Linked DNA regions of Oryzias latipes. The protein of the gene in region 1 binds, or shares a complex with, the protein of each later gene. Links are inferred from orthologs where the notes say so. Each region holds a gene or a part of one and is shown on either strand. Other genes may lie near its edges. The genes, in order: seh1l, nup43 and nup37.

The links.
Region 2: seh1l (region 1) and nup43 share a complex: the UniProt entries of both Homo sapiens proteins name them as parts of the nup107-160 subcomplex of the nuclear pore complex. The link is inferred for Oryzias latipes from reciprocal best matches to the Homo sapiens genes SEH1L and NUP43.
Region 3: seh1l (region 1) and nup37 share a complex: the UniProt entries of both Homo sapiens proteins name them as parts of the nup107-160 subcomplex of the nuclear pore complex. The link is inferred for Oryzias latipes from reciprocal best matches to the Homo sapiens genes SEH1L and NUP37.

The regions. Positions count from the first base shown.
Region 1 is NC_019874.2:7,220,006-7,230,749, forward strand, and holds the start of seh1l (nucleoporin SEH1), read left to right. Parts: upstream 1-5,444; 5' UTR 5,445-5,558; coding exon 5,559-5,669; intron 5,670-5,782; coding exon 5,783-5,833; intron 5,834-5,916; coding exon 5,917-6,063; intron 6,064-6,150; coding exon 6,151-6,362; intron 6,363-6,593; coding exon 6,594-6,692; intron 6,693-6,760; coding exon 6,761-6,901; intron 6,902-7,008; coding exon 7,009-7,163; intron 7,164-9,453; coding exon 9,454-9,598; intron 9,599-10,744. UniProt on the Homo sapiens protein: Component of the Nup107-160 subcomplex of the nuclear pore complex (NPC). The Nup107-160 subcomplex is required for the assembly of a functional NPC.
Region 2 is NC_019882.2:17,706,611-17,717,619, forward strand, and holds nup43 (nucleoporin Nup43), read left to right. Parts: upstream 1-4,860; 5' UTR 4,861-4,978; coding exon 4,979-5,098; intron 5,099-5,279; coding exon 5,280-5,402; intron 5,403-6,318; coding exon 6,319-6,396; intron 6,397-6,479; coding exon 6,480-6,642; intron 6,643-6,712; coding exon 6,713-6,848; intron 6,849-6,943; coding exon 6,944-7,095; intron 7,096-7,173; coding exon 7,174-7,290; intron 7,291-8,494; coding exon 8,495-8,724; 3' UTR 8,725-8,853; downstream 8,854-11,009. Other genes in the region: pcmt1 (protein-L-isoaspartate(D-aspartate) O-methyltransferase), read right to left, coding at 961-1,081, 1,162-1,266, 2,016-2,047, 2,131-2,235, 4,462-4,639; serine/threonine-protein kinase LATS1, read left to right, coding at 10,109-10,462, 10,808-10,928. UniProt on the Homo sapiens protein: Component of the Nup107-160 subcomplex of the nuclear pore complex (NPC). The Nup107-160 subcomplex is required for the assembly of a functional NPC.
Region 3 is NC_019881.2:20,082,518-20,092,732, reverse strand, and holds part of nup37 (nucleoporin Nup37), read right to left. Parts: intron 5,924-10,215; coding exon 5,851-5,923; intron 5,673-5,850; coding exon 5,578-5,672; intron 1-5,577. UniProt on the Homo sapiens protein: Component of the Nup107-160 subcomplex of the nuclear pore complex (NPC). The Nup107-160 subcomplex is required for the assembly of a functional NPC.

The DNA.
Region 1 (10,744 bases):
CATGACAAAGATGAATTACTTAAGTATTACGTCAAAAATAACTATTTTAGAAATCAACATGGCAAATGCAGATCATTCATCTGAAATATATGCAGATTATGTTACTTATAGAAGCCATTCATATGAATAAAACAAAATACTATATCAGTAAAGTAGACACAACACTGTTTCAGGAATTTTCATAGCAAAATTTCATCAAGTATCAAAAGTTAAAAACGTGCAAAATCATGCTACATTAAGAAAGATTTTTGAATCAATTTATCAATTTTTGGAGAAAGTGAAGTAATATCATTAAAAGTCAATCAAATTAACAATTTTCAATAAGTGATTAATCATTTGTTTTACTTTTTTTTTTTATAATAAAGTAATGCTGTAGGGGAAAAGTAAAAAGGGTCCATAACTGTTGATTGTCCAAGGTTGGCATTTCTTCTTTTACTGATAACAGCCGTACTTCTGGGTTTAAACAGAGTTAATAGTTCTCTTCGATGTAATGACTGCAGACATTAGATTAAGGTCCATATCCTTCTTCAGCTGATATCAGCGACGGTGAAAGTTGAGGTCAAGTTGTCTGCAGGTCAGAACTCTGCTGTTATTCAGGTTACGTCAGACATACAGAGAAAGTGAGGAATCCAGGCGTCATATTTCTTGAAATTATTTGGCTCTTTGGTTTATCACTCCACGTTGTTTCAGACGACCGTGATTAAACACTTCTCAAAGTCCTTCATGGTGTTCACAACCAGAACCTTGGATCGGTCCTCTGGACCGAGCGGTTTGACGTAAATCCTGCAGCCTTTAACCCAAGTGTTCTCAATCTGCTTAAGCTTCCTGAGGAGCCTGGCATGTTTGGCGATTTCAGCATTCCTTCTGGTCAGATGGTCGTTCAGATAAGCAGCAGATCCCTTCAGCTTCTTCCTTTGGTTCATCAAAGCTAGCTTGTGTTTGTGATTCACAAACCTGATGAGGATCGCTGGTTTATCCATCTCCTTTCTCCTGGGGAGCAGGTGGCAGGTCTCGATGGTATTGAGATTCAGGGTAATCCCTTTAGATGTGAGAAATGAATGTATTTGCTGCTCCAAAGACTCTGCCCCGATCACCGTATTAGCACTGCTAGCTACGCTAGCGCTAGCATTAGCAGTGCTAGCTCCTGCTGCATTCAGCTTCGCTCGAGGCTTGAATGGTACTCCAGTGAGAATGACATTATTCATCCTTACTTGCTGTTCCACATCGTCCAGTCTTTTCTCCAGAATCTCGACCCGGTTTTCTCGCTGCTCGTTTTGAGCCCGGAATCTTCGGAACTCTTCCATCATCTCCCAAAGTGGCGTTAGCTTAGCCGACACTTGTTCCATAAAACTTTTCAGCGTTTCTTGAATAATGTCAAGAGTCTTTTTGAGGTCTTCGTATTCCTGGGGTTTCTTCGGAGGGATGGTCAGCTCTCTTTTTTGGGGGAAAATCAACCTTTTAAGTAATTTGAAGATAGTTGTATTCGCAGAGAGGCACGCCACGCGCCCTGCCCGTAACCCGGAACCGGAATTTCTTTTGGTGTAGCAACCTGCGTGTTTAAAATGTCAGCAGCAGAAAAAAACTCTTAGAGCTCAGAAAATTCCATTTTGTTACGATTAAGATTTGTATCTGAATTGTTTCATTGTCATGAATAAATGTTGAAAACTAAAGAGAAAATAGCATTTTTTCACAAGTATTTCTTTTTTTTACTTTGGAAGAAGAAAATATATGCTTTAAGTTTATATATATATATAAATACATGTATACATATATATCTTGGTCAAGAGTTTATCAACTTCACTTATATTTTGTATTAATGTAAAAATATATTAAACTGACAGTAATTGAATTTATGAAAATCTACTTGGTTCCAATGTACAGAATGTTTGTAACCCCGAACAGATTGAGTGTTGCAGAGGTTGGAGTTGCAGCATTGGGTGTTAACCGAGGTTTTGGACAAAAAAAGACAGACACACAGAAAAAATAAATGACAAAAATAAAAAAAAACAATTATGCAACCCAAAGCTGTGTGTGTGATTTTCTTTCTTTTTGGTGGCTGTGAGTAAAAGCGGGAAACATTACAGCACCTGGTATTCCCAGCTCCCCCTTCACCCACTCTGTCCCACTGATTGGTGCACCTGCTGAGCGGACCATTTTCTTTATAATTTTAATTAAGTGACAGAATGAGTAGTGTTGAAGAAGAACAAGAAAACGTTTTGAAAATGAAAAAAGCATTTCTGCCTTTCTTCAACTTTCTCAATTTCCCGGGGTTGTTAACAAAATCGCCCTTTTGGAAATGCCTGCTGCAAACACGACTCGTCTTGCTTGGGGTGAAGTCCTCCCGCCGTACTCTTACCATCCATTCGGCTCTCACTGACACATCTACTGGAAAGTTATGAAAGCTTATAGTACTGTTGTACTTTGACGAATTCGCACACAGGGGTACACAACAATGTTGTGATGTCTTTGTCACGCGTTGAAACACCAAATGCCTCTCTTTCACCCGAAATCCGCTCATATTTACTGAAAACTAGCAACTCAACAAAACTCCCCACAACAATAACACGACCAACAGGAAGTTGTCGGCCTTACACTCAAAACGCGGTAGTTAACCGGAAGTTCTATCGTGCACGTAGGCTTTTGACTTATTTTTAATTATGCAACTGATGCTTCCATGCTTGGAGCGCTCCCCAGTGGTGATTCCCCTCAGCTTCGCTGGCGTCACTCGAGCGGCGCTGTTTCAAAGGGATGTCATTTCTGTACTATGTTCTAAAACCTACTGGAGACGTTTTGTTCCTGAAAGTCTTCTTCTTTCTCTTTCGGCTTTTCCCATCAGGGGTCGCCACAGCGAATCATCCTTTTCCACCTCACTCTATCATGGACATCTTCTACCCTAACATTAGCCAACTTCATGTCCTCTGTTAAGACATCCAAATATCTCCTCTTTGGTCGTCCTCTTGCCCTCCGGCCAGGCAGCTCCATCTCCAACATCCTTCTACCAATATATCCACTATCCCTCCTCTGAACATGTCCAAACCATCTCAGTCTGGCTTCTCTGACTTTGTCGCTAACACAGGCAACATGAGCCGTCCCTCTGATGTACTCGTTCCTTATCCTGTCTAACCTGGTCACTCCTAAGGAGAACCTCAACATCTTCATCTCTGCTACCTCCATCTCAGCCTCTTGTCTCTGTCTCACTGCTACCGTCTCTAACCCATAGAGCAGAGCTGGTCTCACCACTGTCTTGTACACCTTTCCTTTGAGTCTTGCTGGCACTTTTCTGTCACACAACACTCCTGACACTTTCCTCCAACCGCTCCAACCTGCCTGCACTCGCCTCCTCACCTCTTTTCCACACTCCCCATCACACTGAACTGTTGACCCCAAGTACTTAAACTCCTGCACCTTCTTCACCTCAGTCCCCTGTAACCTAACGCTTCTACCTTGATCCCTCTCGTTCAGACACATGTATTCTGTCTTACTACGACTGACCTTCATACCTCTTCTTTCCAGAGCAAACCTCCACCTCTCTAGCTGTTCCTCCACCTGCTCTCTACTCTCACTGCAAATTACAATGTCATCCGCAAACATCATTGTCCAGGGAGATTCCTGTCTTACCTCGTCTGTCAGCCTGTCCATCAGCATAGCAAACAAAAAAGGACTCAAAGCTGATCCTTGGTGTAGTCCCACCTCCACCTTGAACTCCTCTGTCTGACCTACAGCACATCTCACCACCGTCATACTTCTCTCATACATGTCCTGAACTACTCTGACATACTTCTCTGCCACTCCAGACGACCTCATACAGTACCACAGCTCCTCCCTCGGCACCCTGTCATACGCCTTCTCTAAATCTACGAACACACAATGCAGCTCCTTCTGACCTTCTCTGTACTTTTCCATCAACATTCTCAAAGCAAAAATGGCATCAGTGGTGCTCTTACGGGGCATGAAACCATACTGCTGCTCACAGATCTCCACCTTCTTCCTAAGCCTGGCTTCCACTACTCTTTCCCACAGCTTCATTGTGTGGCTCATCAACTTTATTCCTCTATAGTTGCTGCAGTTCTGCATGTCACCCTTGTTCTTAAAGATCGGGACCAGAACGCTTCTCCTCCATTCCTCAGGCATCTTCTCACTCTCTAGAATCCTATTGAACAACCTTGTTAGAAATTCCACTGCTGTCTCTCCTAGGCACTTCCATACCTCCACAGGTACGTCATCAGGACCAACGGCCTTTCCGCTCTTCATCCTTTTCAGAGCCTTCCTAACCTCATCCTTTCCAATCTCTGCTACTTCCTGCTCCACAACAACCACATCTTCCTCCCTTCTTTCCCTGTCATTTTCCTCGTTCATCAGCTCCTCAAAATACTCCTTCCATCTTTTCTGTACACTCTCTTGGGTTGTTAGCACCTTTCCATCTCTGTCCTTAATCACCCTTATCTGTTGCACGTCCTTCCCATCTCTGTCTCTCTGTCTGGCTAGCCTGTACAAGTCCTTCTCTCCTTCCTTTGTGTCTAACCTGTCATATAGCTCATCGTAAGATTTCTGTTTGGCCTTTGCCACCTCTCTCTTCACTCTACGCTGCGCTTCCTTGTACTCCTGTCTACCTTCCTCAGTCCTTTCTACATCCCACTTCCTTTTAGCCAACCTCTTCCTCTGGACGCATTCCTGTACTTCCTCATTCCACCACCAAGTCTCTTTACCGTCTTTCCTCTTTCCAGATGACACACCTAGCACCTTCCTACCTGTTTCCCTGATAATCTCTGCTGTAGTTTCCCAGTCCTCTGGAAGCTCATCCTGACCACCCAGGACCTGCCTCAACTTCTGCCTAAATTCCTCACAAGTTCCTAAATTCCTTTAAGACGTTTTGTTCCTGAAAGTATTTGGAGGAAAGCCTGGAGTGTGACCCACAAACTTATGATAAGTAATAAAATGAAAGAAGTTTCTCTTAAAATAATTCACAGAATTTACCCCACCAATCAATTCATGATAAGATACATTAAAACAATTGATCCTAATTGTCCTTATTGCAAAGAAACAATTAACCGCTTTTTTGGAATTTTACTGAGATTAGAAGTTTACAATTTATTGAAAAACAAATCCACCCCAACTTTACTCTGAAGTATGAATATATCATATTTGGTTTTCATAATAAAAACTTGGCCTCTAATAAAAAACTCATAATTAATCTTATTATTATTTTTGGCAAATTTTATATTCATAAACGTAAATTTCCTTCATCTTCTATTTTTTCCCCTTGTTAATCAAACAAATTGAAATGTATATCAGTAACATCTCCAAAAGTCTTAATCAGAAAGCTGTATGTTTATATGAAAGTTGTAGAAACCTGAATGTTTTTATGTAAAATGCATGTAATATGAATGCTCCCCTGGCATACCTGAAGTTTATTTTGTAAAATTGTGTTTTGTATTGTACTTCCGTTTTGTACAATAAAGTTAAACAAAAAAAGCAGGTCTCAAAGCTGGATGATTTCTGCGGTAGGCCTGCTAACGCGCTGGTGAAGCTATCGCTGGCGGCGCGCTGCTACCGGGATCATGTTTGTGGCTCGTAGTATCGCGGCGGATCACAAAGATCTAATTCACGATGTGTCGTACGACTTTCACGGCCGGAGAATGGCGACTTGCTCCAGTGACCAGAGTGTGAAGGTAAGCTAACGTTAGCCTCTGAGCTCGCGCCCGCGGTCCTCGACTGTGATGAACCGTTCCCGGGCTGCCGCGCGGCCATGTGTCACATTCAGAGCTCTGTTTGTTTTTCTGAGGTTTGGGACAAAAGCGAGAGTGGAGAGTGGCTCTGCACAGCCAGCTGGAAGGTAAAACGCCTCCATCCTCACGCCGAACTCCACCTTCTGTGCTGAACAGATGTGAGCCTCCTCCTCCTGGTTTCTCTCTGCAGACACACAGCGGCTCAGTGTGGAGAGTGACCTGGGCTCATCCAGAGTTCGGGCAGGTTTTGGCCTCCTGCTCCTTTGACCGAACCGCTGCGGTTTGGGAGGAGATTGTAGGAGAATCCAACGACAAGCAGAGAGGCTTGAGCCACTGGGTCAGTGCTGGGTTGGGAGCGGGCAGTTGCAGCGACAACCTGCAGCAGGTGGAGGTCATGTGAGTGTTTCTTGCTTCTCCATTCCAGATTAAGAGGACCACACTTGTGGACAGTAGGACATCAGTGACCGATGTGAAGTTTGCTCCTAAACACATGGGTCTGATGCTGACCACCTGCTCTGCGGACGGCGTGGTGAGGATCTACGAAGCTCCGGATGTGATGAACCTGAGCCAGTGGTCGCTGCAACACGAGATCTCATGCAAGCTCAGCTGCAGCTGCATTTCATGGAACCCCTCCAGGTTATATAGCTTTTTCATATTCTGGATGAGCTGACCAGACCATAAGTTTGATGGAGGTTCAGTTCTGCTCCATGTGTCTGTGAAGCTGGGCACAGAGTGTCATTCTAAGTTTCCACATGGCATTACACACAAACGAAGAGCACGTCTGCGCCACTGCCTGATGACAGGTCGGAGTGAAGGCAGGAGCGGCGGATTTCTGCTGAATCATCTCATCTCATCATTCTCTCCCAGCTCACGGGCTCACCCTTCCATGTTTGCCGTGGGCAGTGATGACAGCAACATCGCGAGCGGTGGGAAGGTTCAGATCTATGAGTACAACGAAAACACACGGTGAGCGTGTTCAGCACACAGCGGCCAGAGATGCAGCGGCCTCCTGACACTTCCTGTTTCTTCTAAAGGAAATACGGCAAAGTGGAGACTCTGATGACTGTCACCGACGCAGTCCACGACATCGCGTTCGCTCCCAACCTGGGGAGATCTTTCCATGTTCTCGCTATTGCAACAAAAGATGTCAGAATATTCAAGCTTGCCCCCATGAGGTGATTGTCATCATCATGTGTTCTGGTGCATTTCTCGAAGCACACAGCTTTTGAAATAAAAGGAGGAAGAAAATGAACAGAAAATGTGTCTTGGTTCTCTGGAACAGGAAGGAGAGCTCATCCACCGGACCCAGCAAGTTTGAGGTGCAGATTGTTGCGCAGTTCGACAATCACAACTCCCAGGTGTGGCGTGTGAGCTGGAACATCACAAGCACCCTGCTGGCTTCCTCTGGGGACGATGGCTGCGTGCGGTTATGGAAGGGTAAGAAGCTGGTCCACCTTCAGCAGGAACACAGACGGCTGCCGTCTGTCGGCAATCGTCTGCAGTGCAGCGACCGTTTTCTTATTTTCCTGAGATGGGTACATGATTAATAGAAACATGGCCTCCTCTGGAGGTTCAGTGTTGGACCTCTAATGCTGCGCTCACAAATTTGCGTTGGCCGCTTCAACTGGAACAAATGTCGGATTCGCTGCTGGCTACCTGTCCAAAAATAGGTTCATAATTGTGACGCATGTGGGAGGAGCTAATGTTTATTTGCCTCATGCGTCTTCTACATGAAAGCATTGACTGTATTTGTCGTTTACAATACATGGACGACACAGAAGTTGAGAGATCAAGTCAGTTTATTTTGAAGAGCTCTACTCTCGCTACCTGATGTGTCAACGCATGTGCGCAAAATACATAAAAGCATTTTACGGTCAGAGTATGTCTTTAAATATTAAATGATGATAAGCTCTTAAATGTTTCACAAAATGTACTGCATGTTAACATTTATTTTAATGTTAATGGGGGTAAAACATGGTAGGAAAAAGAAATGTACAGTAAACCCTTGTTTTTCGCGGGGGTTACGTTCCAAAAAGAACCCGTGATAGGCAAAATCTGTGAAGTAGAAACCTTTAATTTTTTTACAATTATTATATAATTAAATAGTCTATTATACATTGAAAAGAAATAACAAACCATTTTACAGGCTCAAGCATTTGTTTCACAAATAAAAGTACTTTAGAAACGTTTTTTTTTCAACAAATAACTTCTGTACTGTACTGTCAAATAATAATTTTAATCATCGATGTGAACAGAAGGCTTCAAATTGCGGAGATTAGCCCCACCCCCATGACCCAAGTAATTGGATTAAACGGGAGAAAATTTTAAAATGATTATGAATAAAATACAAAGTACAGTCGGACAAATAGTGACTCAGGTGTATTTCACTGCTCTGCAGACTGAGCCGCTGCATCCTGACTCCGCTCTGCAGTGTTTTCTTCTTTTGAAGCCCGCGGTGCAGCTGTGTTTGTTTGGGGGAAAGAACATAGTGATAGGAAGATGTTGTTTCTCTTTTTTCTATGGGTTTTAGAGAAACTCGAAATTGCAAGAGAATTTGCACGTACATAATGTAAATTTGGCAAGCTGTTTTATGTACGTGTACATATTAAACTGCAACGTCATTGACGCACAGTTAGAGAAGAAGCAGAGTGACTTTTTAGCCAATCAGAATGCAGAACACAATGAACCATGCAAATCTGTGAAGTAGCGAAACCGTGAAAAGTAAACCGTGTTATAGCGAGGGATCACTGTAACGGATCAGTACTGCCCACGCTGAAGTAAACATGGATTTCACCGCTCCTCGACTCGACTTGAATTGTTTGGGGTTGGGAAGTGTATGTACAGCTTCTCAACGCAGCCAGTAGATTGGCAGCTCAGTCGTTACCACCGCATACAGAGTGAAGCTCCAGTTAGGTCACTACACAATATTGTTCAAACCCCTACTTCCCTCCCCGTCTTCTTCTACGCCTCACAGCTACGCATTAGGCGCACCGCCTCATAGTGCGCCCCTATAGTTTGGAGAAAATGTGAGACTTTTAAGTCCACTTTATGGTCGTGAAAGTACGGTAAAAAAAATGTCGTCCTGGACAGCATTTTGAATCGATACAAATATCGCCAAATGAAATATCGCGACGTATCGCTAAATAAATTTTCCGTCAACCCCTAGTAATCACATCTCCATGTCTGGGTTTATCGGATCATTCAGAGACTCCTCCAGTACGTAGAGCTTCACCGTCTACTGCAGGAGCTGCGTCTGAATGCCTGCTGCTTTCAGCGGTTCTTCCACCTCTCTGTGACCCAGTTTGACCACTTGCTGTCCAGCATTAATCAAACTAGAGGACATTTCTGTTATTGTCTTAAAAGTAAAAAGAAAAATATAAAGTTCAGGAGGAGACCGATGAGATTCTCCTCCATGTTGGTTTTAGGCTCCACTTGCTGACATTAACACGTCATGTGCCAAAGCTGAGCCCCTGATTGGTTGACATGGCGTGAATTCTTCGCTTTAGATTTTTGATGCCTCATCACACCCAAATTTATGCTGCCGCCAGATCGATGTAACATTCCAGATGCTCATGTGGCACTGTAGGACCTCAGATCAGGACTGTATATTGGCATTGAACTGGATGCCCTTCATGTGTGAATCGTGTTTGAGGTGAATGCAGCTTTTGGTGTATTGAAGGTGTCCGCAGTTCTTCCCTAAGCTGTCCTCTGCATGAATGCTCTGCAGCAAACTACATGGACAACTGGAAGTGCACCGGCATCCTAAGGGGAGACGGCAGCCCGCTGAGCGCGTCTTCAGGTCAGCCCATCAGCACCATGGTGGGCTCTTCCCTCCTCTCCCAGAATGCTCTGAATGGGATATCAGCAGGAAGGTAGGTGGCGTGGTGCATCTGCGGCCACACCCCCTCGTTAAAGCCTGACTGCTTCGTGTGGGCTCACACTGACCCGGAGCTGCCACTGAAACAACTGAACCTGCCATTTGGACTCACACCGACCGCGCCTCCTGTAAAGAGCTTGGCTGTCGACATCTTTCTGTGCTGGGAGGGTTTTTTTTTGTTTTTTGTTTATTGCTGTATGGCATAAGAGGGCCAATGTTCCCTCTGTTGTATGAAAGGACTAACGGGTGTTCAGCTGTAAAAATCGAAATAAAACTCCTGTCAGTTTGCAATGTGCTCCACTTTTTTCAGGGGAATGTTGTTTCTTGTGAAGACCAAGCAAACACCACAAAAATCAATTTAACCCTTGTGCTATCTTGTGGGGTCCAGATGACCCCACAAGAGTGGGGTCATCTGGACCCCACAAGATAGCGCAAGGGTGTGATGATTGTGCTTTTCATATGTAATTTTTTAATGATTTGTGCGTCAATTAAAAAACGTGATATAAAAATACATCACTGCTAATGCTTGAAAAGTCCATTATGTGGACACAAATTCGCGAACGCATTTCGCAAAAATCTTGCACGATTGCAGAAACTGCATAACTCTGAACTGTCTGAAAATTTTGAACAGCTTAAAACCAAATTCACGTAAAGGCCCGTCAGCCGACACCCTCGACGGACATCTGCGCACATTGATGAACAACAAACGCAAGAAACATGAGTTCGGATTATCACGCATGTATCATGAAAGACCGAAAGGTCATACATGGAAAACATGCAAAATGTACGTAGCGGCTGTGAGACGCGGCGTTGAGTCTCAGCATCCTGGTGCAGCTGTAGCCAAACTCCTTGCTGAGGGGAGAAGCTTGAATGAACCTTAATAACCCGTAACACTGAAATGTGAGGATAAATACAGCCACCTCCACCGTGGAAACTAAGCTCTCGTTATGGAACATGTTGAGCCCAACACCAAGGGAGTTCCTGATCAACAAATCTCAAACCACCTTCATTTCCGTCTCTTGTGAAAAGTCCCGGGGAAGTTGGGATTGAGGGCTCGTCCTGCCATCCACAGCTCTGCTGGCAGCAGCTGCTCATGCTCCTCAGCAGAATGCTCACAAATAAAAGCGTGGCAGATGCACAA
Region 2 (11,009 bases), on another chromosome or scaffold:
GTAGCAGCCATGACGATGAGACACAGCAACTCACTGAAATGTGCTCGGATGAATGACGGCTCATTAAAACAACTTTTAGCGAGACACACATCGCTTCTCACAGTTTTCCCAAAAATCTCTATGTCGTAAACACATCAGCATATTTTCTTGACTGTTGCCTCAGTAACCGCCTTGCAGCATGACTCAGCTGAACTAAAGCAGCAGTAGAGTGTTGTGGCTGACGCTGATACAGACGTTCAAAATTGACCAGCGAAATAGAGTTTGAATCAGTGAACATGGATTGCAAAGCATAGGACTTCCATTGTTCTCTCTCTTTTTGCTTTGCCCCGCCCTCATAACGCCTGGCCAATGATGAGATCTTTTGTCAATGTCCAAATACAGATAAAATGCAAAGTCCAGGACTAGATCTGGACCAAATTAAGCTGATTTTGTCTGTTCCAACTGACTTTTCCAGTCTGTCTTCTCTTTAAAAAAGTGCTTATGTTTCCATTTAAGGATCCACTTTAACAGAAATCAAAAAGTTAATTTCCAGCTTTGATTGTTTTCTACTCAGATTATAAAAGGAGAATAACAGGAGAATCCTCCCGTAGCTGCAGATGAGTTCATTCAGAACAGTATTACAGCTGTTGATTATTAGCATACATCGATCAGTCATTTGAAAACAGAGTCTCTCCATATAAATGTTGTTTTTTAAATAATAGAAAAGGGTTTTGAAATATAATAAAATAATTTTAAAAACAGGATATATTTTATGAAATCCAGTGACTTCCAGCCTTTCAGTAAGGGATCACATTCAGAGTCTGCAGAGCGTTTAACCTGCATCTGTGTTGAACTGATGAGCGGCAGAAAGCGGCGCTCCCTGCTGAATGATTTAGGTTTTGCAGCAGCTAGCTGCTTCTTACCACAAAGGTGGGGAAAGACGACCAAAAAGTACAAACATTTTTAGAGATGAAACCTTACCAACCAGCTTGATTCGTCCGGACGTTATTAAACTGGAGTCGTCTTTCTTCACGTTGTTTATGGAGTCATCTACCAGCTCTTTGATGTGGTCAATTCCTATGACCTTCCCTTTGGGTCCTACCTGAAAGGCAGAGACGTTTGTGTCCGACCCTGCAGTGATCAGATGGCGTGTTTCCTGAAAGTTTCTGGTTTGAGGCTCACCATTCGGGCGAAGCAGACCGACAGGATGCCGCTGCCGGAGCCGACGTCCAGGGCCTTGGCTCCCTCGTACAGCTGGTCGTGAAGGAGTTCCAGTGCGTAGGCATGCTGGGCGGAGTCAAAGCAACAAGAATGATCACATCTGGCCATTGCGACCAACAAAGGGCGGTCAAGCCCAGAGATTAACCAGGGCTGGGTTTCAAAAATAAACTGTTTGATTCAAACTGAGCTTTATTTAAAGAGATGCAACTTCGATTTTCTGCACTTTAAGGTGCATCCTCAATGAATGGTTTAGATTCAAACTTATTTCATAGGCGCATTAAGCGAGACAAAAGAGTCAAAAAACTAGTCAGGCAGACTTCGACGGTGTAGGTACCAAAACTGTTTGGCCTGCAATAAGTGTTCAGTGGCAGTTTTGGTACCTACCTTGTTTGCAACACATAGAAAACACAACGGATATCACTAAAACAAACGTTCTGTGACGTCACAACCTTGTTAGTAACACCTAAAAAAACAGTCTAAACATTAGCTGCTTGAGCGTAGTTACAACAACACCCAACCAAACATTTTGACAGAGCACCGTCTACTTCTAAAAATCGCTTCAACATCAGTAAACCCAACCAGAATTAATCATATATGAGATGCTCCAGATTATAAGATGCACTGTAGATTTAAAAAAAAAAAGTAGGCTTTTAAGTGTGCTTTAAAATACTGTATGTAAAACCAGTTTTGTATTTAAGAAATTTGAAAGAAAATGTGAAAGAATTGAATTGAAATATTGTATATATAGACATAATTGAGTCCAGATGAGTTCAGGTTTTCTCAAAGAGTCCTCTGGAAGGTGGAGACCTTCATACCATGTGTGGGGCGCTGATGGTGGCCTGAAAACCTGTTGGTTAGAAGCAAACATGGGCTCGTTGATCACTCAGAAAACAGGCCAGAGTGCACAAACTATGGCGTCCATGCACCTACCTATGGACTGAGGCGAGTCCATGTAGGGGTTACACCTGGAGAAGTGTGCTCGGTCTGTGGCCAGCATGGCTTCGTACACCCTGTCGGATTTGATGATGCCATTTTCTGAGGATGCAGAAGAGTTTTTGTCAAAAGTGAGGCAGAAGAGAACCACACAGTCCTGCAGACGAATATGCAACAAGAAAGACACACGAATGAACGCATTGAGTTAAATCAGACAAACATGGAGTGGTTGGTATCCAAATAAACCTTATTCCTTATGCTACCTACACACCAGGCATGTGATGTGACCTGAAGAACGCGCTAAACGGGCCTTCTTGAACGCCCTATTGCCACATGTGTTCACACTGGACTGTCGCTACCCGATATTAGTGCATGTACTCACAGCTGAAAGAGGCTTGGTGTGAAATGTTAACACAGGGCACAGTAAGAAAGCGGCATAGCAAAAACAATATTGGCTTTGCAGACCATGGACTGCAGCGGGACAGAATTATGGACATAAAATTTAGATGTTGTAATGTTAACACTCAAAAGAACAGTCACACTTATCTAAACAGGTTGCATTTACACTGTAGTTTGTGGATTAAAGGGCCTATTTCATGCTTTTCCAATACTTTCACAATGAACTATATCCATGTATATGATAATATATTACCTTTGGCACACTAAAGAATGATCTTTTTATGAAATACGAGTTATTTTCACACTTCATTTTCCAACCCGGAAATAAGACGACTTGGTCTCTGAGGCTCCGCCTTTCTCTCTGTGTGGGTGTCGCCCATTGCATGACCTCAACATAGAGCCGGCCTTGGCAGCGTGTCTGAGTCTCCCAGGAAAACAAACAACATCCAAACCTTTACAGGGATGGATGTGCATACTGTGCAGAGTAAAGGAACGTGTTTTGACCAATCACCACTGGCACCACGCAGAAAGTGTGTGTGTGTATTCCTGAATAAACACACAAACACAAACACAAACACACACACACACACACACACACACCCCCCCACACACACACACACAGAGTATTCCTCTGAAAACCTAAGACGTTTTTAGAGGAATACTCAGAAATGTAAGAACAGATCAAAATACTGCTTTGAGGTTGTTTACAGTGAAGAATGAACATTATAATACACTTAAAAGCTAAAAAAAAGTTGATTTTTCATGACCCTTTAAGGAAGATACATGAGCTCGATTTCTTATGTTTGGAATACAATCAAAAGCTTTATTGTCACCAAGCAGAAAAAATGAACAATGAAGACTTAAATATTAAGAATGCACATGTAAAATATTAGCAAAATAAGATGATAAAACTCTTGAGCATTATTATATACAGTCCACATGATCACTTTTTTAACTGTACCTATTTGCATAAAGCCAATATAACCACAAAAGGTCCTTAACAAAAGCCTGCAGGGTTGAAAGGTTCAGCCAGAGGTGGCAGACTGATCAGCATGCCTTCTGCATGTGGTCTGCTTCAATCCAAATGAAGTGTGCTAGTCGGAAGCAAACATGTCTGGACTGAGATAAGCAGATATAGAGACTGATGCCCTCCTAAACACGCAGCTATGGGCAAAAAAGCGAGCAATGATACCCCTGACAGCACAGAGAGTATAAATAGAGCTGGCAAATACTTGACAGTGAATGTTGACGCACACTCAAGTCTGCAAATATCGTATTAAATTCACATATTAGCATTAAATAAGTTGATGTACTGGCTTAAAGGCTTATTATGAACAAAAAGGCTAAGTGTCAAAATGACATTACCATTTATTCCGAGTTGGACTTGGCACTAAGTCGCTCTTTCGATGTTGCTAGCTGCTATCGTGACACAGCAAATGTGAATTTCTGTCTCGTGCAACAGAAGGGTGGTTTCCAGAGTCGAGCTTTACGGTTTAAACTGTTCTCGTCAGTGAAATGACAGCGCAGTGGCCAGTGCAGACAGACATCAATGGATGTGGGCAGGGCACACAGCTAGCGCCGCTGCTAACGCTAGCTACATGCTCCTACATGACGCACATACATAGCTAGCTGGCCGGGCTAACATCACAATACACCCTAAATATTTAATGCAAATATTATGTAATTTGGGTGTTTAGTGCTTTTATTTTGATCTAAAATGACAGAAGCGCGCGCGTGTCCCACGGCGTAACGTGGTTTGGCAAAAAAAAAAAAAGGGGGTGGAGAAACTAGGGGCAACAGTGGTTAACAGTTTAAGCAACCAGCTAGCTACCGCACCTGCGCTAACAAGCACGCGCCCGAAAACAGTTTTCCAGCGTCGCGCGGGTGAATTGCTTGCCGATGCCACCTTAAAAACGCTACAAGACTCACTGCGAAGGTTGGTGACAAGTTCTGCGTGACTGGCTCCTCCAGATTTCCAGGCCATTATTAAGCAGACTTTGCGGAGTAAGTAGACAGCAGCTGTCAGTGCCGCGCCTGCGCCAACAGTTTTCCCGATGAAGCTCGCAACCTCGAGCGGAGACGGCGGAGCGGATACGTCACCAGACATCCAAATGATTTTATTACCGGGCCGCCTTTCACATACACTCCCTTTTAACAAAACACGTACAGTTTAATAAAATACAAACCCAATTAGATACGTACTGAGCCCAGTGTCAGTTTAAAGAGGGAATTCCTCTGTCTCTGCTTTATTGGAATTGTTGGGTAATAAAGAAGTCGGCCGCTAGGGGGAAACAGATTATCTATTAATTTAAAGAAGAATAGCACACTGTGATCTGGTCTTCTCGGGCCACCGTAGTTACGTATGAAGCAGCAGGCGCGTAGTTTCTCGTGTAGTCCGTAAACTGAAAACAACACTTCAAATTTTAACAAAAAGGCTTCAATTTCCATGGAGAGCATAAATGCCAAATATGTGTCTCAGAAAATCAGTAAGACGAGATGGTGTCCGGTTTCCTATTCTTCACTGCAACAACCAGAAGTCTTTGCTACGGGCTCGTGGGACAACGAGGTTAGCTAGTAGTACTACTACTAGCGCAAAACCACACAAATTATTAAGATCGCTTGCTAATTAACTCAATTTTTTTTATTAATTTAAATTATTTAAATACACTTTAAAAAATTGTTTTGATTCATTTGTCGTCGTGATTTAAATGTTCACTGAGTTTAATGTGAAACCCGTTGATTTATAGGACAACAAGGTGTCTATCTGGTCCATTGGAAATCACAACAATTCTGGATTAGAAGACGGATTTGAAGGAGACCCACAAATTTTATGTGAGCACAAACATGGCGGAGATGTTCTGGACCTGCAAGTAAGAAACCCAAAAGCTTCTAATGACGGAATCATCGGTGTTGATGTTTGATCTGTGGAGCCATTTCTTTATTTAGGCCTATAAACAAACTAAATGAAAAATAGAAATGAGCACAAAACCAAAACGAAATTTTAAATGTTCCCTTTTCTGTCATTAAAATTATTCAGCATGTCAAATAAGTGTCAGCAGTTATAAAGTCATAAAGATCCTTCAGAAGCTCACACCCAAATGTTTGATCAATTTGTGTAACTATTTGATTACATTTTTGTTCAATTCTTCTGGATTTTCCCACTTTATTATGTTGGATGGTTCACTCAGATATGTGTGTTTTTAACATGTTTTTGTAGCATTTTTCTCATCATGGAGGACAAAAGGATTTAAGCTTAGCACTGCATTTACGAGGACTTTTTTATTTAAATTGTAATGGATAAGGACCCGGTTTGCGATGCAGCAACTGCCATTGGCGGGCCAAAGTCTCCCTGTTCCGCACGCAGACAAATAGATCCACATCCGTCTTTGTTTTCCTTTGTCTGAGCTGGAATCTAAATCTAAACTGTACGGCAGGTTGTTTTTTTTTCTTGTGCTACGCTAATGTTAGATTGGGGTTGTGAGCGGCTGTTAGGTAGCAGGAAAGCGTGTAAACAAAGGAATGCTGGGAAATCATGGTAGGGTCACTTTCACGCTAACAGTCCCATCCACAACCCAGAAACAAATTTCTAATGAGCTTCTGTTGCTCTGCAGAAATTATGTCTTAAGGAACAACACAGGGTTTTTGATTTTTGCTAAAAACTGCATAATCATAATAAAAAAAACACTGGGAATGTTTTTACAATAGGTTTTAATTTTAAATGATTTTAAATGTGTACATTGTTTGGATAAAGTAATTTTTCTTGTTTTTCTTTGTTTCATGTTTTAGTTCTTGGACCAGGAACGGATGGTCTCAGCGTCATCAACGGGAGCAGTCACTATTTTCCGCTATCATCCAAACACTCATGTACGTTGTTTCTTTTCGGTTTTCTTGAGGAGAAAACAAAATGTCATGTTTAAAAACGGGTTTCCTTTTTGTTTCCTGAACAGACCATTTCAGTTCTGCAGCACTGGGCGAGGGCGCATAGCTACCCTTGTGACAACGCGCCCTGCACCGCCTTGGTCTGCAGCAGCCCGGAGATTGTCACTGTCGGGGAGGACGGCAGGATCGTGGTCTTCAGAGCCGACCAGGAAGGAGCGGTCCGGGTCATCGGTGAGATGAGGACTCGGATGTTACCGCCTCATCAGGAGTCGAGTCTAAAACTGTCCGTTGTGTTTGTTAGAGAATGCAGACAGCAGCACAATTCACGCGGTGACTTACCTGAAGACCACGGAGGTTTTGACGGTGAACTCCATTGGCCAGCTGAAGCTGTGGGACCTCAGGCAGCAAAGCAGCTCCCCATCGCAGATTCTGTCCCTGTAAGAGCTCTGAAATTTGATGTATTTATTATTTTTTTATGTATCTTTATCCTTTCAGAAACACACCTTTACTTGTTTGTCTTTTTTTCCACCAGGTCAGGAGACAGAGCTCCTCTGCACTGCGTTGACAGACATCCCAACCAGCAGCACATCGTAGCCACCGGGGGCCAGGACGGCATGCTCTGTGTGTGGGACGTGAGACAGGGGGGCACGCCCATCTCACTCATGGAGGCACACTCGGCTGAAAGTCAGATCCTTTCTTTATTTCACTTTAAACATATCTCTGGTTCTGTTTCACTAACTTTCCTTTGGATTTCCTCGTCAGTGTGGGAGGTTCGCTTCCACCCCACAAACCCGGATCACCTGTTCACGTGTTCGGAGGACGGCTCGCTGCTGCACTGGGAAACTGCCTCGCATTCCGAGATGCCCTCATTCTTACAAGGCAAGTCGTCATCAGTGAAGAGGCACTCCGATGAAAATTTTGTTTTTTGGTGTTTCCAACATGTTCTTTTCTTTTTTCTGATGATGGAGGCAGTTTGAAAAAAAAAACCCAGCTCGCTGCTCAGAGTTCTTAGCAGCATAATCATAATAAAAAGACCACAGGGAAGGCTTTTACAATGGATCCAAAGATGATTGGAATTGGAACTTTAAAAAGAGAAAGCCATGGATCAGATTTGAAGCTTTTATCTTTATGCATTCTTCTTTCTTTATGTCACTTAAAACACACAGGGTCAAATCAGGATCATCTCAAATTGACTGGAAAACCAGATTTTAAAATTGAAACTCTGAAATACAGCTGTCACTGTTTCGCAAAGGTGGTTTGGCAGAGTTTTAAACCAGATACCCTTCCTGTACTTATTCAGGCTAGTGTTATATGGGGGCGGGGCTTTGAGCCCATTGGTTACCATGACATGATTGATGTTGTGTGATAGAGGTCATGACAATGTCATTTCCACTTCAAAGGAGGGATGACTCGAGGTTACATTGTGTACTTTTGAATGTAATTTTTTTCTGGAAATGTTTTTCATTCACTTTAAGCTTGAACATATAGACTCTTCAGTCTGACTCCTTTTTTTTTTTTTTAATGCGTCCTCTCCATTCATTTCTGTGCAGAGCTCCGAATATTTTGACAACAATTTCTGATTTCGCTCCCTGGTGTCTTTGACTTTCCAAGTAGAGATTTAGCTAATTTTTATTTCCTCCTTCCTCCTCAGCGTTGTAGCTCTCTGAGAATTATTTAGACATTTCTCTCTCTGGTTGTTGACTCTGAGGACACAGTCATGACTTTGCACATTCCTCTGCTTTGTGTTCATCAAACATCCCTTCACTTCAAACTAAAACGATCTTGTTGACAGCTCAGAAGTTCTCTAAAGTCTAATTACAGCTTATCAGTCCTGATTTGTACAACAGAGATTTGTGTGTTTTGGCTAAAAACAAAGTCAGTCTTTTGAAAGGGTTAATATGAGACAAGATTTGTTATGAAATTTTAAAGAAGTTTAGAGTTTAAAGCCAATGACGCTGAAACAAATACAGGGACAATAATCTCAATCCTAGAGTGTAAACTCTGCATTTTTGATAGAATTTGGGGTAATTCTGAGAATATTTGCAGTTGGGGGTGAACGTTGGATTGTTTGAACTGTTGACAGGTGGCAGGAACAGCAGCGTGATCTCCCACGGCGCGCTGACCCCCGCTGGCGGGAACCGCCCCCTCAGCAGCGCCTGGCTCTGCGGAGATTCTGGCAAAGGCTGCCTGGAGACGACGCACATGCTGCCCAGCCAGACCATGTCCGTCAACAGCCTGGACATCATCGGACAGTGTCTCGTCTGCGGCACCGACGGAGAGGCCATTTTTGTCAACAGACATGTCCCAGTTTAAAAAATAAGTGTCTTTTGTGAGGAAAGAGATGTTACTGTCCTCATGTTGTGTTCTGACTGTGTTTTGTACAGATTTGATTTAAAAGGTTATTAAATTACAAATAAACGCTCAAATAAGTCTAAAAAGTTGTTTTATTGTCAGTCTTGTTTTTTTATTTTCCAATATTTACGATTATTTGATAGATTTGTATTTACACTGTGTAAAAAAAAAAAAAAAACAAACAAGTCAGCTGCTAAGAACACAGGGAAAAATGGTCTTGATTTCAAATTAAATGTGTTAAACATCTTAAAGTAATACTTCCTCACAGAAATTCTATTTTTTTTTTTTACTTGACTGTTGTTTAATCATCTTTTGAGGACTAATACTCACAGATGAAGACAAACATATGAAATTATACTGCCTACCTTAAGGAAAATTCATAGTATTATGAAGCACTAGTCATTTTAAACAATTTGAAACGATTTTTTTTAAAGATCTTTTTCTTGTAATCGTTTTATTTCTGGTTTGCTTTTTATAAATTTTTAAGCAATGGGTTGTTTTTGATCTCATTCCCTGTTTGTTTCTTGACCCTTGATAGTTTTATTTTGAAAGCGGCGGCCACCGGAAGTGCAGCGCTGCACTCTGACGGCAGCGTTTACTTGTCATTCAGACATCCCGGGAATCCAACGCGACAAGGAACCAGTCACCGCGGCTCAGACATTTATCCATTTAACCTGCGTCCAGCGGAATTAACCCAAAAACACATCGAGCCGTTCAAACAGGGAGACAAGCGGCCGCTTCACGCGCTGGTAGGTTCCGGTTCTCTCTGCTGGTCTCTGAGCAGCCGCTAACCCTCAGCTGCTGTTGAATTTTAGCAAACACAGCAGGCCGTAAAGAAATGTTTGTCTTTGTCTGACGAATACAGCTTATTGTTTTAATCACAAACGACACCTACTATGTTTATAGTAAGGTAAAAAGATTTTTATTTTTAAGATATGTTTACATATTTAATGTTAATTGACGTAGAATTAGCGTCAAAGTAGCGTTTGTTAGCTAACAGAGCTAACAAGCTAGCATGTTTTGGTGTTACAAAGAAGACAGTTAACTTTTAAGTATAAACATGTAAAATACATTAAATGTCACCCGGAAGTAGGGATATAAACGTATTAAATCTAAGCTTAGCTCCTGTTTGTGACGGAAACATGGCCCTGTTTTTCAGTGCCCCTTTGAATTGAATTGAATTGAATTGAATTGGCTTAACCTGTTTGGTAGCATAACATGTATTCTTTGTCGTTCTCACGCTGCTGAAAACACATCCAGCTGAAGCATGCTGCTGTGAGGACCGACCAGAGCCTGCACTGCTGTTACCCTCTTCATCCTCCATCGTCATCGTATATGATCCTACATGAGGAGAGCGGAGAAGCCCGAGGGCTACAGACAGATGAGACCTAAGACCTTCCCCGTCAGCAACTACAATGGCAACAGCCAGCAGATGCTGCAGGAAATACGCAACAGCCTGCGGAACCTGACCAAGCCCTCGGATCAGCCGAAAGGGGACACCGGGGGACCTGGAAAGATGGCCCCTGAAGATCCACGGCAGCAGGGGCGCAGCGGGAACCTCAAAAACCAATACCAGAAGGCTTTACAGGAGATCCGCAAGTCCCTTGTTCCGTATAAAGTGAACGGTTCTGGGGACGAGGAGTCCACCACGTCAGGTGCTGATGGAAACAAGTCCCAGGACCAATCTGGGTTTGAGGAGGTATGAGGAATGCGTTTAGTCTTCTTAGATAATTGGATTCCATTCTGTACATACTTGTGCGGCTGAGGACGGTCACATGGTGCACTTTGTTTAGAGAGGAGTTATGTAGGAAATGCCAGGTATTTGACAAGCTGGTACAGTTAATACCATGGAAGCTGCATAGTTAACGATTTGCGGGCGTTGGTGTGGAGGAGGAGGAGGAGGAGGTCTGTCATCTTCATCTGTGCGTTCTGAAAGCCTAATGATGACGTGTTGATGATTAACACTCCAAAAATTCACAACATTTGAATTTTTTTCTTTCCTGTATACATTTCAAGCTTATTAATCAGTTGTTCTCTTCTGAAGCCATCCAGTGGACGCCGTGGGGGGGTTGCCTCAGACTACATGTTAAAGCCGAGTTACCAGGACCCAATGAGAGATCAGATGACTGCTTCCAGTTCAAACTCTTCAGCCCTGAAAGCCCCGGGTACGCACTCCTGTGGTGACGGTTGCTTCGTTTGATGACAAGTGTTTGTGTCTATTTGGCTGGTTAAACATTTGTGTGTAA
Region 3 (10,215 bases), on another chromosome or scaffold:
AGACGCAAGTCTTTCTGCCGTTTTCTCGCCGTGTTCACACTACATCTCCCATGATGCATTGGCTCAAAGGGACAACGCCTCAGCGTACAATGAGTCGTCCTTGTTACACGGATTGAAACCACAACGAACATACAGTTTGTATGTAACTTAACTTTTATTACATCTTTTAGAAAAAAAACATCTGCAACTTCCTGCTTTTTCTGCCACAATTATCACAAAAATGCACGTCAGATTGCCGGGGGGGGGGGCGCTGTAGATCAAAACAGACTATGAGTTTCTGCTTTTTTTTTTTTTTTTGGGATGCTGGTGTGCCGCGGGATTTTTGTCTAGGTTAAAAAAAAAAAAGGTTGAAAAACACTGATCTAGAACCACTAGATTATAATAGCGCCCAACAAATAAATCCCAAATTACTTCGCTTACAGTGGTATGAGAAAGTTTGGGCACCCCTGATAATTTTCTAAATGTTTCTTCATAAATCATTGGTTGTTTGGATCATCAATTTCAGTTAAATATATCATAGAGCTGATGAACACAGATATTTGAGAAGTGAAATGAAGTTTAATTGGATTTAAAGAAACTGTGCCATAATTACTTAAACAAAAATAGGCAGGTGCGTAAATTTGGGCAGCCCAACAGAAACATTCCATCAATACTTAGTAGATCCTCCTTTTGCAGAAATGACAGCCTCCAATCGCTTCCAATAAGGGCCTGGATTCTAGTTGAAGGTATTTTGGACCATACCTCTTTGCAAAACATCTCCAGTTCAGTCAGATTTGATGGCTTCCAGGCATGGACAGCCCGCTTTAAATCTCACCAAAGATTTTCAATATTCAGGTCTGGGGACTGAGATGGCCGTTCCAGAACATTGTACTTGTTCCTCTGCATGAATGCCTTTGTAGAATCAGAGCAATGTTTAGGGTCATTGTCTTGTTGAAGTATCCAGCCCCAGCGCAACTTCAACTTTGTCACCGATTCTTGAACATTGTTTGTAAGAATATACGAAAAGAAAATACTAAGCCAATTGAGATGGCTGTTGTTGTGAATTTGGGCTATACAAGTAAAATTGAATTGAAGAATCTGCTGATACTGACTGAAATCCATGCCACCTTCAACTTTGACAAGATTTCCAGTACCTGCACTGGTCACATAGCCCCAAAGCATGATGGAACCGCCACCAACATTTAGCGTCTCCGTTTGTGGTATGCACGCAGAAAAGGCTTCTTCCGCATTACTCTCCCATACAGCATCTCCTTGTGCAAAGTGATGGTTGAACGATGCACAGTGACACTGCCGCCCACGTAACGACTTAGTGCTGGGTATCCCTCTGCCAGTGGGGTGAGATAAAACCAATGTTATGTATTTTCCGAGCACTGATAGCAATCCCTAGCATAGATGACCGGCGACTATTGATGACATCATCAATTTTAACGTAAATTTTAGCGCAGAGAAGCAATTTAAAGTCCCACTCCAAATATATTTTATCTATTTTCACCAGTGGAATTGAAGTTGTCTGCTACCCTGAGTGTAAGAAAAAACACAGATAGCTCCAAATACTCTCAGATCCCTGCAGTGGACCCCCTTGATCTATTGGCAGCACATTTTCTCCCCACCAGCTCCAAACTGCTCAAACCATAGAAACCCGTAGAGCTGTTTAGACTACAAGAAGCCGAGGAAGTGGAGTCTGCTTCCTCGCCTCAGTTCTGCAGCGTCAGGTTGCGTGTTGGCAGCAGCAGAGGTCCCACAACTGCAGGGGACAGAAATGACCAAACTAAGTAAACCGGTGGAGAAGGAGGCCCCTGCCAAAGGCAACAGAGTGACGGCGAGGTCATGAGCCTACACCAGCGGACATAGGGCTCCCTCCCTTTCTGCAGGACCACTTCCTGTGTCTCCTATACAGGCTCAGCTTGTGTGGGCTGACTGGATGGTCCTCTCCCCGTTAACTTGATCCATCCCTCCGTCTTCCCCCCGTGTCCCATATTTTCTCAACATGACAGAATTTAAATCTTTCAGCAGATGGAGCCCTCTCCTGTTTTCTCTGGCTGGGGACTGGGGAGAGGAGAGACTTGTTCGACTTTGCATCAGGTCGTTTGTTTCAGTCGTGAAGTTAAAAACATTGGATCGAATGGAGACAGACTTGTAGAAAAAGCCCCTAGTGGTGACTTAGTGAACTGACCTTTTATTTTAATAAAAAAGGCCTAAATCCAGGCTTCGAAGGCCGTCCTACTGCTGGTTTTCCAGAAAACTTGCCTTATCTGCTGGATCAGGTGTCTTTAACCAATAAGAAGCTGCAATGGCAGGTTGGTTGGAAAACATGTAGGACACCGGCCCTCAAGGTCTGGAATTGGACACCACTTGCATAATTCTATCCATCTGCCATTCCTGTGGAGGTTGCTGGGGCCTATCCCAGCTACTTCACGATAAAGGCCGCTACACCCTGATGAAATTTACACTTCAAGGAGAATTCATATAGGAACCAATTTAAGTGTGAAGCACGTCTCTGGACGTCTCCAGCCGGAGTCGAACTAACATCCAAAAGAGGTAACCAGGACACCAAAGGGCTCCCCATGCCTCACTTTCGCAAAGATTCTTTGAAAAATCACACTTTTGAAAAGTAAACTCTAGCGCAAAAGTATAGTTTAGAAAAATTCACGCTAGTTTTTAGCATTTCTTTTTACTTAAACAAAATGTTAGCTTCGGATTTTCCTCCACTGGTCGTTTCGGTCAGCTACAGTTTTCACAAAAAAGCTTTTAAAGACCCACTCTGATGAAAATTTAGTTTTTGATGTTTCTAACTTGTTCTTGTCGCATTTTCCTTATGTTAGAGGAAGAAAATCAAGCTCAGGAATGCATTTCAGAGTATTTTTTTATTCGAATTGTTGTGAATCAGCAGAAGATGAAAAAAATCCCATTTAAAAAAAGATGATAGAAGAAATTATGCTGGGCGGGCCAAAAGCTCCCTGCTACGCTCCATTCTAGCAGAGCTAGTGGAATTAACTTTCGCCACTGCAGAAACTATGTCCTAGAAAAAGACACAGGCTTTTAGATTGAGGCTAAAAACTGCATAATCATTATTAAAAGACCACAAGGAGCGTTTCACAATAGATCACTTCTAGAGCTGTGACGGTGTGGGATTTTTGATCACCAGTGATGAACCAGCAGGGGGCGCAGTGTCGCAACAAAAAACCCCACAACATGATCAAAGTGGGTCTTACTAAGCAGAACAAGCCAGGAAAGGAGGCGGTCATGAGCGCCAGAAAAGTAACTTCTTCAGTCTTCAGTTTAACCACAAACCCCACCTGGAGCACCTGTTTTCCTTTACAGGTGGTTGTTCTTTTAAAGCTATGTTAACATCGGCCTCCACAACGCACGTTTAAGCGAACACTTTCAATGAAAAGTCTATGTAAATGCTTGTACAGTTTTGGGCTTTCTGACTGTAAAAAGTCTTGGATTTATCGGAATAGCGCTGTGAAAGAAAAAAACCTGGAGCAAAATTTTCAAGATTAGTAACTATTCCACATTTCACACCAAGCCGTTTCTAAGTGTAGATAGATGTGCTAGTATCGACAGTCCAGTGTGAACACTATACATGCTATAATCACGTTTTTTTAAACATACCTGGCGTGAACGTAGCATAACATCTCAGCAGCTTCTGGTGCCTTCAACTACAGCTCATTGAGAAATGATGCAAGCTCACAAAAAATAAAAAACATAATGCTGACGTCTAAGAAAATTTAACAGAGATGGGAATTTACGCATCAATATGCAGAAGTTTTTTTTAAGACTTCAGGACTTTAGAAGATCACCCATTATCCAGAAATGTGACCAATCAGCCAAAAAGATCTCAAACTAAAAACAACGAAGGCTCATCCAGGAGGTCATAAAACAAGCTAAGGAGCTAAGGAAGGAAAAAAAGGTAGGCTTCACCTGATTCAGTTCAAGTCTGAGGTCCTGACTTTGGACAAAAAATATGATTCGCATGAAAATTTGAGGAGAAAGACTGAACAAAGGACTCATCTCATATTTGACAAAAATGTGGAATTTTCCCAAATATTCTGTGGACTGAAGAAACCAAGGAAGAACTTTCTAGAAGGTGTGTATCTCATTATATCTTGGGGTCATACTGACATGGAATGGATGACTTTCAGTAATTCATAAAACCATAAATTCTCCTTTCTGGCAGGAAAATGTCATTCACTTCAAGCTCAAGAGCTTTTGGCTTTTTCTGGCAGGACGGTGATTCAAATGCACTGGCAGGTCCTGAATGGATCAAATGCAGGTTTTGAAAAGGAGTCTGGCCTCAAAGCTGATAGTTTTATGGCTTTCGAAGACATTCTGGTAGAAATGTCTCTAAATTTAAACTCATCTGTGAATAACGGTCAAGAAAAAGGTCCACAGGTGTGGGAAAATCTCACAATCATTAGATGAGTGCACCACCATCTTTTGGTAACGAAACAATAATTGATTCTATAAAAGTTTGCAAAATACAAACATTACTATTTTGGAAACAAGAACTAAAAGAAATTAAAAACTGTAGTTTTCTGGGACACAGGCTATGTCCAAATTCCCTCCCTATTCCTTTAAACGGCAAATATGACATCACCAATTTCAAGAAGTGAAAATCTAATCAAAATATGACCATTTTATGAAGACTATTTATGAATCCACTGCGTTCCGATGATGAAAACTTTGATGGTTAAAAAAATGCATTTAAATGCAATTTTTCACAAAATTTGTTCAAACGCAATGTGGTCTACATTAGCCAATCTAGTGAACATTCTTTCCCACTAGCTCACAACCCCAAGCTAACATTACTGGTGCAACAGAAATGAAAGGTAATCCAGTAGCTTTGACCCAGATTCCAGCTCGGATGAGGAAAACAAAGACGTACATGGATGTATTTGTCGGCAAGTGGATAAATCAGAATGGAGCGGAGCGGGAAGCTTGTGGCTTGCCAATTGTAGCTTTTACGTTAATGTGAACGTTTTCTTTATTTCTACTTTTTTTTTTAATGTATGTATTTTTTATATTCGTAATAAACTTGTTTCCATTCCTTTCCATACGTACATAACGCCTACGACCTTTTACAAACTGCATTTTTTTAATCTGCTCCTAAATCACAACAGCTTGAATAAAGATGCAATTTCTACGCTTAATTTTCTTCAACTATGGCTTCCATAACGAGAAAAATGCTACAGGGTTGTATAAAAACATATTTTTCATCGGAGTGGGTCTTTAACGGCTACAGATCTCTTGTACAGTACACAGGGGCTGTCCCTGCACTGACCCTGGCAACTAACACACTTTTTCCCTCTGTGCGCCTTAATTGAAAAGGAAAATTTGGGAACCTTGTTAAAGGCCCCCCCCTAAGAGAGGAAAATATTTCTGCAGCTAATTGGATTTCCATATTTAACCAATTAGGTAGAAAAGCTACAAAGCAGCTCTATGCTTACGCACGGTCACATCGGAGCATGTTGTGCTTAGCATCAAGTTTCACCGTGGAAACGCTGTCAGGACTTTCTGCACCATTAACAGAGAACAGAACTGAAAATCAGGAGCACACACACACAGAATCTGGACCTGCAAGTGTGGTCGTCACTGACGGAAGCGATTCGTTTCCCCTCTGTAGGCTCAAACACCAAATGGTTAATGTAGCTGGTGTGGCCCTCCATCACCTCGGCAACGATATGGAAAAAAGAAAAGAAAAAGACACTTTAATGGAAAACAGAGAACGCACCACCAGTGAAATGTGGAGCACCTCCTGTAACCTCCCCAGTATCAAACGTCAGTGCAGGGAGAAAGTTTGATGCCAAATGAAAAGTTCTGGCCAATGTGCTCCAGATGTTGCATTACCTCGACTTCATGCCTATCCTGGAGATCAGAAGTCAGCAGGCGCAGTTTTCTGTCAGCTGCCGCCGTGCACAATCTGCAGATGAGGAAAACAAAGTTGGGTTTTAACAATAAATAAGGAGGGAAAGCAAAAGGTGTGCTTTTTCAACGTTCTACAGGCAGGCCGGGGCTGACACCTCTGGAGGAATGTGTGTGGCAGGAACCTGGAGCCTGATCAGTAGAAACTCTGCCAGGGAGATTCTAATTGCAAGCAAAGATAAACACGAAGAATGACGAGATTGCTCACGCCATTTATGCACATTCGCATAAAAACCTGCGCGGAGCCAGGCAGATGACTTTCCCTCTAATCAGCCCGCGCGTAGACCAGCGCCTGCAATCATTCACACAATTACACTACCTCACTTATGACAAGAAAAACACATACATATGACCAGAATAAACAGAAAGCGGTTCGCACATTTTCCGTCGCAGGCGCACATGGATTTGGCATGATGTCATTACAAACACTCTAAACACACTTCAGGGTTTTACCGCCTCAGGAGGGGAGATTTCTTCTGGAAAGAACCTCCAACCCGAAAAACAAGTGTTTGCTGTGGAGCACGGATCGCATGCAGCCCTCTTCACAAAACCTACTTCCAAGACAAATGTCTTTGAAATGTCGATTCAGCGCCCTTTTAGCATCACTCTGATGGGCTTTTTCTCAACAGTATCGGAGAATGGGAACTTTGTGAGACCATCGCTTTAACTGCAAAATCTAAAACACAAATATTATCCCAGGAGTTAAGTGACACTGAAAAAGAGGGCTTCTCTTTCACACAGGAAGGCAGACTTTGCTTGATTTTCATGATTCTCTTGGTGTATTTTAGCTCAGGTCTTCAAATTTGACACTGATTTAAGGTTTTGTTTTTATAAGGTGTTACCTTCAAAACAAAACATAACGTAAGCACGGAAAGGGGGAATGTTTGATAGATTATTTTACAGCAGAAATAAAGCTTAGTGTGAATAAATTTCATTTTGTTTATTTTGTGTTTTAATTGTGCAAAAGCTATTTGAAGGACGAGAAGCAAAGCTGAGGTCGGAGGTTGAACCTGAAAACTTTTACCTGTTCTGTTGTTGAGTGGATTGATTTTGAGACAGAGAGAGACAGACATCTTCTTTGCCTAGTTGACCCCGCGACCCCATCCCAGAAGAGCAGAAGAAAATGGACGGATGGATGCTGGACTGTGTGGGACTACCGATTGCTTTTTCTTGGTTAAGCATTGTAATTTTGTGGACCTCAATGATGGTGTTCAGGTGTGAAGTTGCTGAAGTTGCTTTTGATGTAAATGTTTCTCTGTGTTATGTATTATTTACCAAAATACATTGCTCTTCGCTTTTGAACACTTTTAACAAACAATATCTTGAAATTGACAGACTTTGTAGGCGGAAAAGGATAATGCGAGTCTGCTGGAAATGTCTGTTGGGTCTTCAACTCCCACCAAAGGGAGAGCATGTCAACCACCTTCATTGTCAACCCAGAAGTTCAAATCTGTGGCTGTAAAGTTCATACAACCCACTAACCTTTTGGTGGTTGCTGGAAGTAATGGATGCTGCCAAGCAGAAGAGTGGCCCATCAAGTCTGGCCGCCTTGTAGGACCTCAAGGCAACTGACGGGCAGTTCATGTGGCATGCAATGCAGGTAGTTGAGGCAACAACTTTGGTCTGGGAGCAGTTCAGGGAGGCCATAGAAAAGGACAATCAGTCGACCTTAAAGAAATTCTGGCAAACTATTTGGTGCCTCAGGAGGAAAAGAAGGCAGTTCTATGCCAGTACTGTTTACAATGCAGGTGGTGAGCCGTTGAATTTGACTAAAGACATTGTCAAGAGGTGGAAGTAACACTATGACGATCTCTTGAATCTCCCCGACATGCCTTTCAATGAAGAAGCTTCAGTCAAAAAGCTTTTCAGTGGGAAGGCACCATGAGTGGATGAGGTCCATCCTGAGTACCTCAAGTATCTGGACGTTGTGGTGCATGTTGTGTGACAAATCCTTGTGAAAACTTGCAAATCAGCAGGGGGTCACTTTTTAAGAGGAGCGACTGGAGGGTGTGCTCCACCACAAGGGGATCCCATTACTCGTTCTTCATTGGAAAGTCTATTCTTGAGCACTGGAGAATTCTACCAACAGCTGAACCTCTGATTCAGGAGGACTATGGTTGTGGAACACTCCATCAGCTCAACACCTTAAATAAAGGGCTTGAGGATTCATGACTGTTCACCCATTCAATCCACTTGTCCCACTGAAATTAACAGAATTATTTAAACAACAAAATAATGAAATAGGGCTGGACTAAAATGATGGTACCCATAACTTAATATTTTGTTGCACAACCTTTTGAGGCAATCACTGCAATTAAACGGTTTCTGTATTTGTCAATGAGCCTTCTGCATCTGTCGACAGGTATTTTGGCCCACTCCTCATGAGCAAACTGCTCCAGTTGTCTTAGGTTTGACGGGTGTTTTCTCCAAATGGCATGTTTCAGCTCCTTCCACAGATGTTCAATGGGATTCAGATCTGGGCTCATATAAGGCCACTTCAGAATAGTCCAACGCTTTTCTCTCAGCCATTCTTGGGGTTTTTTTGGCTGTGTGTTTTGGATCCTTATCCTGTTGGAAAACCCATGACCTGCGACTGAGACCAAGCTTTCTGACATGAGGCACCACATTTCTACCCAGAATGCGTTGATAATCTTGAGATTTCATTTTACCTTGCACAACTTCAAGACACCCTGTGCCAGATGCAGCAAAGCAGCCCCAAAACAGAACTGAACCTCCTCCACGTTTGACAGTACGGACAGTGTTCTTTTCGTTGTATGCTTCATTTTTGAGTCTACCAACATAGAGCTGATGTGTCTTACCAAAAAGCTCCAGTTTTGTCTCATCTGTCCAAAGGACATTTTCCCAGAAGCTTTGTGGCTTGTCAACATGCATTTTTGCAAATTCCAGTCTGGCTTTTTTATGATTTCCTTTCAATAGTGGTGTCCTCCTTGGTCGTCTCCCATGAAGTCCACTCTGGCTCAAACAACGACGAATGGTGCGATCTGACACTGATGTACCTTGATCTAGGAGTTCACCTTTAATGTCTTTGGAGGCTGTTCTGGGCTCTTTGGATACAGTTCCAACTATCAGTCTCCTCAATTTGTCATCAATTTTCCTCTTCCGGCCACGTCCGGGGAGGTTGGCTACTGTCCCGTGGGTCTCTGAATAATATGTGCCACTGTCATCACAGGACCTTCAAGCTGCTTAAAGATGGTTTTATAGCCTTTACCTTTACAATGTTTGTCTATAATCTTGTTTCTAATGTCCTGGGACAATTCTGTCCTTCGCTTTCTGTTGTCCATGTTCAGTGTGGTACACACCTTTTCACCAAACAGCAACGTGACTATTTGTCTCCCTCCCGTTCACATGTCTCTACGAAAGTCCGGTCGCGGAATCCATGTACAAAACGGCGGTCATTGATGGCGCTGGAAAGTCAACCGGTTGAACTTCTTGGCTGCTAAATCTCAACAATTTTGAATGGGACCAATGAGGGACTCGGATTTGGCAGTGGCTGCTGGAACCGCAACTCCACGCTCAATATGAAGAAGATCATCAACCTATGCATGCATTTCATAACGGAATTTTAGCATGAAACAGCAGCATTAGTGGCCAGAATGACCTCTTAAAGTCTCTGCCAAAGCCACTCTTGACTTCAAAATGTTTAAAGTTATAGTTTGAGCTCCAATCATGACACAGTTTGATTTCCAATGCTTGTATAAACTGTAAAAAGACATCCATTTTTTCTGAAGAGGCAAAAATCCAGTTTTATGACTTTAAGCTAAACTCTGACTGATTGTGATGAATGTGAAGTTGAATTTTTTTTCTTTTTGTTCGTCATGTAGCTACAAAGTCGGTTCCTGATCATTGTTTTTGTGGTTTTGCTGTTAATGTAGCATGTAAACATGTGTGTGGGAAACCTGGGATAAAGTTCCATAAACTTTACTTTCCAGGGTCTAGATCCTTCTACTCTTTTCATTTACTCCTTTTGTCTTTGAAATGAACTTTCTAAGAAACCCCTGTTGTTTGGTGTGTTGGCCACTGTATTTACCATACGACAGCCAAGGTTTAAAAAAAAAAAAAAGAGTGTGTACTGTGGAAGTCTGTGGTTTAGGTCTTTGGGGCTTTTTTTTCTAATACAAGCTGCTGCGGTAGCAACTCGAGCCCCCCCCCCCCCCCCCCCCCCCCCCCCCCTTCTCCTTAAGCCGGTGAGAACTTTGTACTTTTCCTGGAAGGCCAAGCTACGTGCCGACTGAAGGGAGAGATGGAACCTGAGTGGGTAGTCATCAGCGC